Linked DNA regions of Coturnix japonica. The protein of the gene in region 2 interacts with the protein of the main gene of each other region in a pairwise test. Links are inferred from orthologs where the notes say so. Each region holds a gene or a part of one and is shown on either strand. Other genes may lie near its edges.

What was found.
Region 1: the proteins of KIFAP3 (region 2) and NCF2 interact in binary tests that used the Homo sapiens proteins (3 or more experiments, as listed by UniProt). The two-hybrid records come from large-scale screens. The link is inferred for Coturnix japonica from reciprocal best matches to the Homo sapiens genes KIFAP3 and NCF2.

Annotation. Positions count from the first base shown.
Region 1 is NC_029523.1:4,321,441-4,325,153, reverse strand, and holds the end of NCF2 (neutrophil cytosol factor 2), read right to left. Parts: intron 3,640-3,713; coding exon 3,498-3,639; intron 3,187-3,497; coding exon 3,124-3,186; intron 2,838-3,123; coding exon 2,762-2,837; intron 1,975-2,761; coding exon 1,931-1,974; intron 1,837-1,930; coding exon 1,685-1,836; intron 1,616-1,684; coding exon 1,504-1,615; intron 1,355-1,503; coding exon 1,198-1,354; intron 1,119-1,197; coding exon of another isoform or gene 1,096-1,118; exon of another isoform or gene 1,015-1,095; coding exon 917-1,014; 3' UTR 734-916; downstream 1-733. UniProt on the Homo sapiens protein: Subunit of the phagocyte NADPH oxidase complex that mediates the transfer of electrons from cytosolic NADPH to O2 to produce the superoxide anion (O2(-)).
Region 2 is NC_029523.1:6,619,007-6,623,405, forward strand, and holds the start of KIFAP3 (kinesin-associated protein 3), read right to left. Parts: upstream 2,802-4,399; 5' UTR 2,795-2,801; coding exon 2,670-2,794; intron 1-2,669. UniProt on the Homo sapiens protein: Involved in tethering the chromosomes to the spindle pole and in chromosome movement. Binds to the tail domain of the KIF3A/KIF3B heterodimer to form a heterotrimeric KIF3 complex and may regulate the membrane binding of this complex.

The DNA.
Region 1 (3,713 bases), about 2.3 Mb from region 2:
TCTGGGCTGTAAGTCAGCTGCAAAGCAAAGCACATGCAGGAGCCTAAATGACACTGGAGTCTGGGCAGCCCCAAAGAACATAAAAAGGGAAAACTGAGGCCCAGTACCCTTCTAAGGGTGTGAGCAGCTCCCCTACGTTCTCCACCTTAGCAACACCACCGTTTTTTGTTGCATTTCGAATATGTATTTCCTTTTAAAAAGTCCAAAAAGTGAAGTTTCCACCCAATGCTAATATTGACTCAGCCCCCCCCTCCCCTACCCCCCTTTCCCCACCCCTATCCCAGCCCCCTCAGTTTGTGTATTGAGCTGTGCACCCCGGCAGCTGCGACATTCCAGTGTTTGAACTGCCGCTGACTCTTGCACCCTCAGCGAGCTGACCCAGGTTCACCACCTCACTCCTGGCAGTGCCAGGTCCCAGCGCACCGCTCCACTTGTGCATGAGAACCCGGTGTCAGGAACACGGCCGGCTCTGGGCTGGGACCCCCATCCTGCCCTCCGGTGCCTGGGGGAGCGAGGGAAGGGACCCCAACAGAAACTGGTTTGTGTCGTAAGCTTTTTTTGTGTTATTTGTCTGTCTGTGCAAGAACTGCAGCTGCTGAAATCAGCTTTGCCTTTAATTAAACCATGTTCTCTTCATCCAGGTCTGTGTGGTTACGTTTATTTCCCCCCATGTAACTGAGCTGCGGGCTTTGAAAAACACATTATTACATTATTTTTCTGGAGAAAATTGAAAGAAGGTTTAAAGTTTTATTTTATTTTCCAATTTGAAAGAAAATGAAATAAATTGCAAAGATGTTTTATTTTCCTGCTTTTGCACTTTTAGGTCTGTTTTCAGATGCAGTAATTAACATGGGAACTTCTTATTTGCAGCACTTGAATTCTTAATTTCTTTCAGTCTCCTTAAACTCTTCTGAAATCACATTTCTGGGTCTTTAGTGTTACCATCTCGAACAAAAGCAGAGGGGAAGATGCCGATCTTTCCATTGCATTGCCCTTCCAACCAGTCTTCGTTCACTGCAAGATAAAATTGATGCCATTTTTGTCACCCTAGGGATGTGCAGGAGCACCATTACCCTCTTGTGCTGCAGGCAGGCCTCAGATCAGAACGTTAAGATCATCTGCAGGAAAATAGCAATGTAACATTACAAAACCATGACAATAGCCTCCCCTCTCCCACAGTGGCAGGAGCACCATTACCTTTGGATAAAACAAGTATCACATCTCCTGCCTGAAACTCCAGGTCTTCGGGTTGGGTGGCCTCATAACTGTACTGTGCTACCACTTGGCTTGGTCCTGTCTCTGCTGTTGCCTTCTGTGGCTCCTCTGGTTTGCTGTCAGGTAAAAATCCCTCTCCCTAGGGCAGGAAAGAAGCTGGTGAAGTCACCATGCGGCTTCTGCTTTGTTCCAGATCATGGCAGATAAGCTCTGCTTAGGCTTCATCCTCTGCCATTGAGCCCCTTGCCGGCACCAGTAGAAGAGCTGGTGGCTGGTGCTGCCACCCACCTCTGTGCAGTCACACCACACTGTCAGGCACTGATCCTTGCTGTGGCTCCAAGCTGCCTCCAGGTTCTGCATGCTCAGAGTCACCAGCTCTTTGCTGACTGCAGACTTGTACCTGGGCACCAGAGGACACAGGTAAGGGGAGAGCCACGAAAACTTGACTCCTGCAGCAGACAGTTCTCACCTCAGCATTGTGTGCTCAGGTTGCAGCTCCAGCTTGTCACAAATGAGGCCCAGGAGCTCCTTGTAGGACAGGTCTGGTTTGACTTGCATGGCAACCGTGTATTTGTAATGCACCTTGACAATATAGGGCTTGGGGACAGCCGGTTCGGTTTCCTGCAGGTGGTGAATTGGGGCATCAGGCTTCTCTCCCAAGCTGTATGTGATGTGGATCTGGGCTCTACCTTTTCACTGCAGCACAAGGTCTTACCTTATTGGCTTCTCTCTGCTGCGCTGATGTAACAGGAATGAAATCTGAGGAGGAAGGAAAAGATGGGTCAACAAGTGGAGCACAGTGTAAGCTTTACTGCTGTGGGCATAAATGTGATTCCAGATCCTCTCAGCCCTTCTCTTCAACACCTGCTGTTATCTGTAGCACCACCCAGCCCTGGAGCCGGCTGTGGTTGCCCAAACAGATCAGTATCAGCTACAGTGAGGTTCTTCTGTGGGGTTCCTCAGTAACCACAAAGAGGCCAGGGCTCTGCCTTGCCTGCTGTTGTTTCAGGTGGTCACTGTGCTCACAATGTAGGGCCTGTTCAGTGTTTGTAGGGATTGGAGCTTTAGGTGCGATGCTGTTCCTCTGTGGGCTTTGATGTTACTGATGCATTTGCAAGCACAAAAAGCACAAACAACAATGTATCTTGCCCTCTGTCATATAGTTGCTTCTGGCCCCAGCCCTACCCCAGGTGCTGAGAAGCACCAGCAGCACATCTTCCCAGCGCAGTCGTAGCTCCCAGCTGCCCTGCTGTATGGAGAAGCCTGTAATGCATGTTGTGCTCTGGGACTTATGCAAGCTGGGTCACTTGCCCTGTTGTTTTCCCCAGGCCCTTTTTCCCATTAGCTGCTGCCCTAATTAAGAGCAAAAAGGGGACCTCGAGCTTTGTTGTTGTTCCATCCTCGGTGCTGCAGCTGCAGCATTGCCTCCTGATTTAAACCCACGCTATAAAAGAGGCAGAGATGGCCCCCAGCCCTGGTTCTCCATATCACAGTACACAAGAGACTGTCCCTGCAGTTCCCCCATCCCTCCCCTCCATACACTGACCTGGTGCTGGCCGCCGGGGCCTTGGAGCGGTGCTGCTGGGTGGCTCAGGGATGTCGGGCTCGGGAGGGGCCTCCTCCTGTGCCAGTGTGAAAAGGACAGTGCAGGCAGTCAGCATCCCTAAGGGGAGCAGGCACAGCCCAGGGGTGCTGCTGCCTTGGGGACCCCGTCCTGCTACTCAAGGCAGGAGTCCTGGGGCTAAGCTTTGCCTGCTGTCCATTGATTTGGGGTGGAACAGGGCAGTAGCCATGAGATAGCCATGAGCCAGGAGTCCCACAGCATTGTAAGAGAGATTTGCAGGCATGGATCCTGCTGGGTGATCTATGTGGTTTCCTGGGGCCACCAGCTCCTCCTGGGCTCCTTACCTGGACGTGCAGCTTGTGCTGGAGCTCCATGGGCTCAAGGAAGTTGCAGGGGACGATCCCTTTCTGCAGGGAAGAGACAAAGGGAACAGATGGTGTTAGTCGACCGTCCAGGAGATTGAAGGAATGATTTCTGTATGGCACCCCAAGATGGGCAGCAAGGGTGAACCAGCTCACTTTATTGCCTTGAGCACATGTGGTCAGGCAAACAAAGCAGCACATCTGGCCCCTGCCTGGTAGGAGCAACAGGAGCAGGACACCAGGAGGTTGCCTCTACCAGCTCATAGCCCCTCAAATAGGGGATGCAAGGAAACTGGGTTCAGAAACTCCTTCCAGGCCTCTGTAAATCTCCCTTTTGTGCCAGGCAGACCCCCTACCTTCCCATTGAACATCACCGTAGCCCAGTTGTCCTTCTCTTTCTTCAGGACAAAGACGATGTTTCCTGGCAGGACCTGCAGCTCCTCAGCAGTTTCAGGGATGAACTCATACAGGACACGGTGTGGCTGCCCTTCAAGAGCCCTGGGAATGGAAGCCAGCATCATGTCAGGAGCAGGGGGTGATGCTACTGTTCTACCTCATAGGGGGGCCTAAAC
Region 2 (4,399 bases):
ACAGATGACTTCACAAGCACTGTAAGTGAGGTGACAGCTAGTGGTGGCACAGGATCAATTAGATAAAGGAATATTCGTTATGCCTCTCACAGAGCTAAAAGCATTAGTAAATGTGGATGTAGCCTTCAGTGTAACCATTCAACAGAAGAAGCTGGGAAGGCATGACTTCTTTCATTCAGATGGTGTCTGCTTTTCCTCCTGCAGAGATGGAACTGCAAGAAGTACCTGCTTCTTGAGATACAGCCACCCAAATAACCCTGCAAAGGACCACTGTGAGAAGGAAAACACAGTTCAGCCACGAGCTTTACAAAGACATAAAACTACAGGGCAAACAAATAGAGGTCACTGTTATAAAACAACATCCTCCTTGAGGAGGCTGGAGCAAAACTCCATTCATTACTTAACACTTTTGAAGATATTTGTGTTTTCCTTTAACAGTATTTTGGAGCAGATGCTCCATGTCAGGCTGTTCTCATATAGAAGCCTCAGGAGGTTTAGTCTTCTGAAGCAAAAAGCTTGTGGGAATCTATTACAATAGAAACCAACACCCTACCTTTACTTCTAGATGTATTTCCCCCATATTTACACATAGAAGATCCTAACCACAAATGCTCCTCCTGACAGTCAAACCCCTACTAAGTGTTGCTAGGTCATTTATACAGACATAAAGAAAGGGTTGGGTGGTGGACAAGCAGGCCTGAAGGAGCAGTGGGTACAACAACTAATCCGAACTAGCAGCTTCTCACTGCAAAAAGAGTTCGATCTTCCCATGTTTTGCCACTTCCAGCAAGTCAACAGCAAACTTGTAACGTTTTGGACGGCAGCAGATTTTCCACGAGTTACTGAATTAAAGTGCTGTGTAAAAAGGGAATAATTTCTATCTACAAGCAGGGATAAAAATGAAGGCAGGAGATCCCTTTTTGGCAGCAGTAAGCTACTGATGAGCTTATTTACCAGCACAATCTCAGCCTAAGACTGCTTAAACAATTTTAACATTTCCTGTTGTTGTGTTGGTTTTTTTTACCCTTCCTTAAGAGGGACAGATGGGTGAGCTAAAGAACATACAGCTGCAGGGATTTTGTCCTCTCATCCTGATAACCACCCTCACTGAGCTACTTCCTGGCCATGTGATTCACAAATCAATTCACATTCAAGCTCTTCCTCTGAAATGCTGAAAAACCTACACTGAAATGCATCACACAGACACTAAACTCACACACTGTTTGGAGACCACTGTATTCAGAAAGCCAGCACCACAAAAGAATATGTATGTAAAGGCCCCCTCTTCCAAGCCTAATGAATAAACATATGCTTTATTGATTTTTCTATCCATTATGAGCATGCGAGCACCTAATAAATTCATAAACCATCTGAGCACACAGATGTTCTGTTAGAAGCAGAGTGTCTGTACACATCGGCCTGTCCTCCCCTTCACTGCCTGCTCTGTCAACCAGAATCCCACTCTATTCAAGCTCTGAAAGGAGGAAGGCCTTTCCTACACAGGCAGTGGCAGCTGAGCTCACATAGCCAAACGCCCTTTATGGACTGATTCCTTCGGGGGGAAAAAGCAAAATTAAACTATGCTAATTAAAAGTGGCACAAACCACACACGTGGATGAAGCTGAAAATACAGTCACAAATCCCAGCATGTCTGACACGGTGGGAAGGGGACTATACAAACAGGATGACAAAGGGAAACAGAGATGAGAGGAGCACTGGACTTGCACACAAGCCTTGTCATGTTAAGCAGCACAGCAGCTGTTTCTTGGTTCGTGTTCCCTAAAACAATAAAACAGTGCTTATTACAGAGATAACTACAAAAGAAGATTCCTGCAAGGTCACATAAGGTGGCACAAACAGAATGCGCAAAGCTAGAAATGGGCTCTGCCATGAAGTCACAGCTGCTTCCTTAGAAGCAGCCCTTCAATTTGTACCTGTTCCCACCATTCCCAATTAAGAGCCTCAGTATGTGACATACCAGGGGAAAAAAACCCAAACCCAGACAGCCCAACAGCAAGATCTGCAAATGCTGCTGAATGCCACAGAGCAGAAAGGGAAAATAGGACAAGGCATTCCATCAAATTCCAGATGAGATGGATAACATCACCCACACAGTGGAAGAAATCAAGCCTAAGGGAGGCCTTGGTGTTGTGACATCTGAGGGACTGTCAGCCAGAGCTTCTGCTCTACAGCAGCGTTGATCCTGCAGCTCCTTAACTGGACCTTATACTGTAGTCTGACTGGCCTGACCACCACACAGATAAAAGAGCCATTAATCCCTTAGGATCACTGATCCACCTGCTACCTTTCTCAGCCATTCTGTTCACATTCATCCCTCACCACCCACTACCTCAGCGCTCCATCCCACACAGACACCCCAAAATGCCACCAAACCCGGGGTCACTCCTCCAACCCTCCCCCATTTACCACCAGCATGCCACCACCCCATTCACCCCCAGCACAACCGGGCTGGCCGCGTGTGGGGGGATCCCCCAGCAGCACCACCACCACTCGACCCCCTTCCTACCCACCTACAAAGCGACCTCCCTCACCATCTCCACAGCTGCAGCCTCACCACAGCCCCCCCCCACCCCCACAGCGCAACCTCCTCACAGCAGATCGCTGCCTCCACCCGCTCCCCGAGCCCTCCAGCCGTTTCTCCCGATTACCTCTTGAGGTACCGGGCGTCCTCGCCCTGCATGGCGGCAGGGACGGCAGGGGCAGGGCGCGGCCCCGCAGCGGTGCTGTTACCAGGGTGAACGCCAGCCCCGCCCCAAGGCCCCTCAGTGCGCATGCGCAGCCGCCGCCACTGCCCGCATGCGCAGTGCTGCAGCCCAGCTACGCCTCACAGCCCGAGGCGGGAGGCCGCCCGTTCATCCCTTATTTGCTTTATTAAAGTAGAAACGCTTTCTGAGAACACCCACCCTTATGCAAAAAGCGTAATTCAGGTTATTTTTTACCCTCAAAATATGGCTGGGTGTCGTTAACCTGAATACACAGAAGCACCGTGTCACCAAGCAGCTCTTCATGTGGGAGCAACACCCGCCATTTGCTATAGTAACTTCACAGTAACTTATATTTCTTCCTATTTGTTCTCTCAGTTTAAGCCAAATAATCATAGTGGTAAACCAGGTTGAGGCTCAGCCTAAGTTTGAGGTTGTTTCCATGTGATGAGCTCTGTGTGGCCTTTGGTATATCATAGATGTATAGTTTAAATGCCTTGGGGTTGCTTGAAAATTTCATTGAATTCCAGCATTATCGTACAAAAAAAAGTAGCAAAATTGTTTTCCTATAGAAAATTTATTAAAATACGTGAGGTTTTTCCCTCATTGGAAATTAAAAAGCCCACCCTGAGGTTTGTGATCTCTCCTTCAACGACTGCATCTGCCTCTTAGATAGAAGAAAGTGTAAATTTAAGGGGAAAAAAAACAAACAGTGAATTTGGGGTCATCTTCTCACATCCCCTAAAAATGAACTGTGTAAATCTCAATAATGCCTTTTATTAGCTGAAATGAATGACAGAAATCTGAAAGGATGACTTTCAGGGTAAGTAATGATGCTGTGCTACCAGCGAGGGACTGAGATGATGTTGGTCTGATGTGCTCTCCCATTGGAAGCAGTTGAGGCATGGAGGTAATAAACATTGGGAGTTGGTGATGTGGAAAGCAGGCACTGAAAGTCTACAAGATAGTTAATGCGAGTTGCTACCACTTAACTCATATCCTAAGCAAGGCTAATCTAAAAGGCATTGGAATTTATAAGATTCACCACAACTGTGCTAATTACCTTTTTTCCCCCTAAAAGGTCAACACTTTAAGAGAGAATTTTGCTGCGAGGTGCACACAACTGAACAACAGATTGTGTGTTTCCAGTATGTTCTCTATGTTTAGAACTTTTGTATCTGATTTCTGCTTGTTTTCTAATGCACGACGTGAAACTCCATCCTTATCCAAAGTTACATGCTTTCAGTTTTTGTCACTTTAATTGCACTAAGGAAAACAGCTTAAATATAAAGCAGCATACAACAGCAGATTGTTTCTCTCAATATCATCTCGTGGGTGACAGTGATGCAGATTTCTTCCATAAAATCCTGCTTCCATTAACATCAATGAGTATTTTACCATTGACCCCAATGGGGACAGAATTGTACCACTTAACATTTATTAGATGCAGCGGGCAGAAAGCAGGCTCATGGCTATAAAGGCCATGGCATTTTATGGTTCTGACTCTGCAACCACTCAAGCACATGCTTAATTTTGCCACAGTAATAAAGTTAAAGTGCCAGCTTAAGTGTTTGCAAGAAGGAGTCTCCTTTACTCTTGACCAAGCCTGCATGGGATCATAAATCAGGAATTTCCCCCCTTCCTCATCTCCCCCTCCTTAAGGAAATGGATTTTGA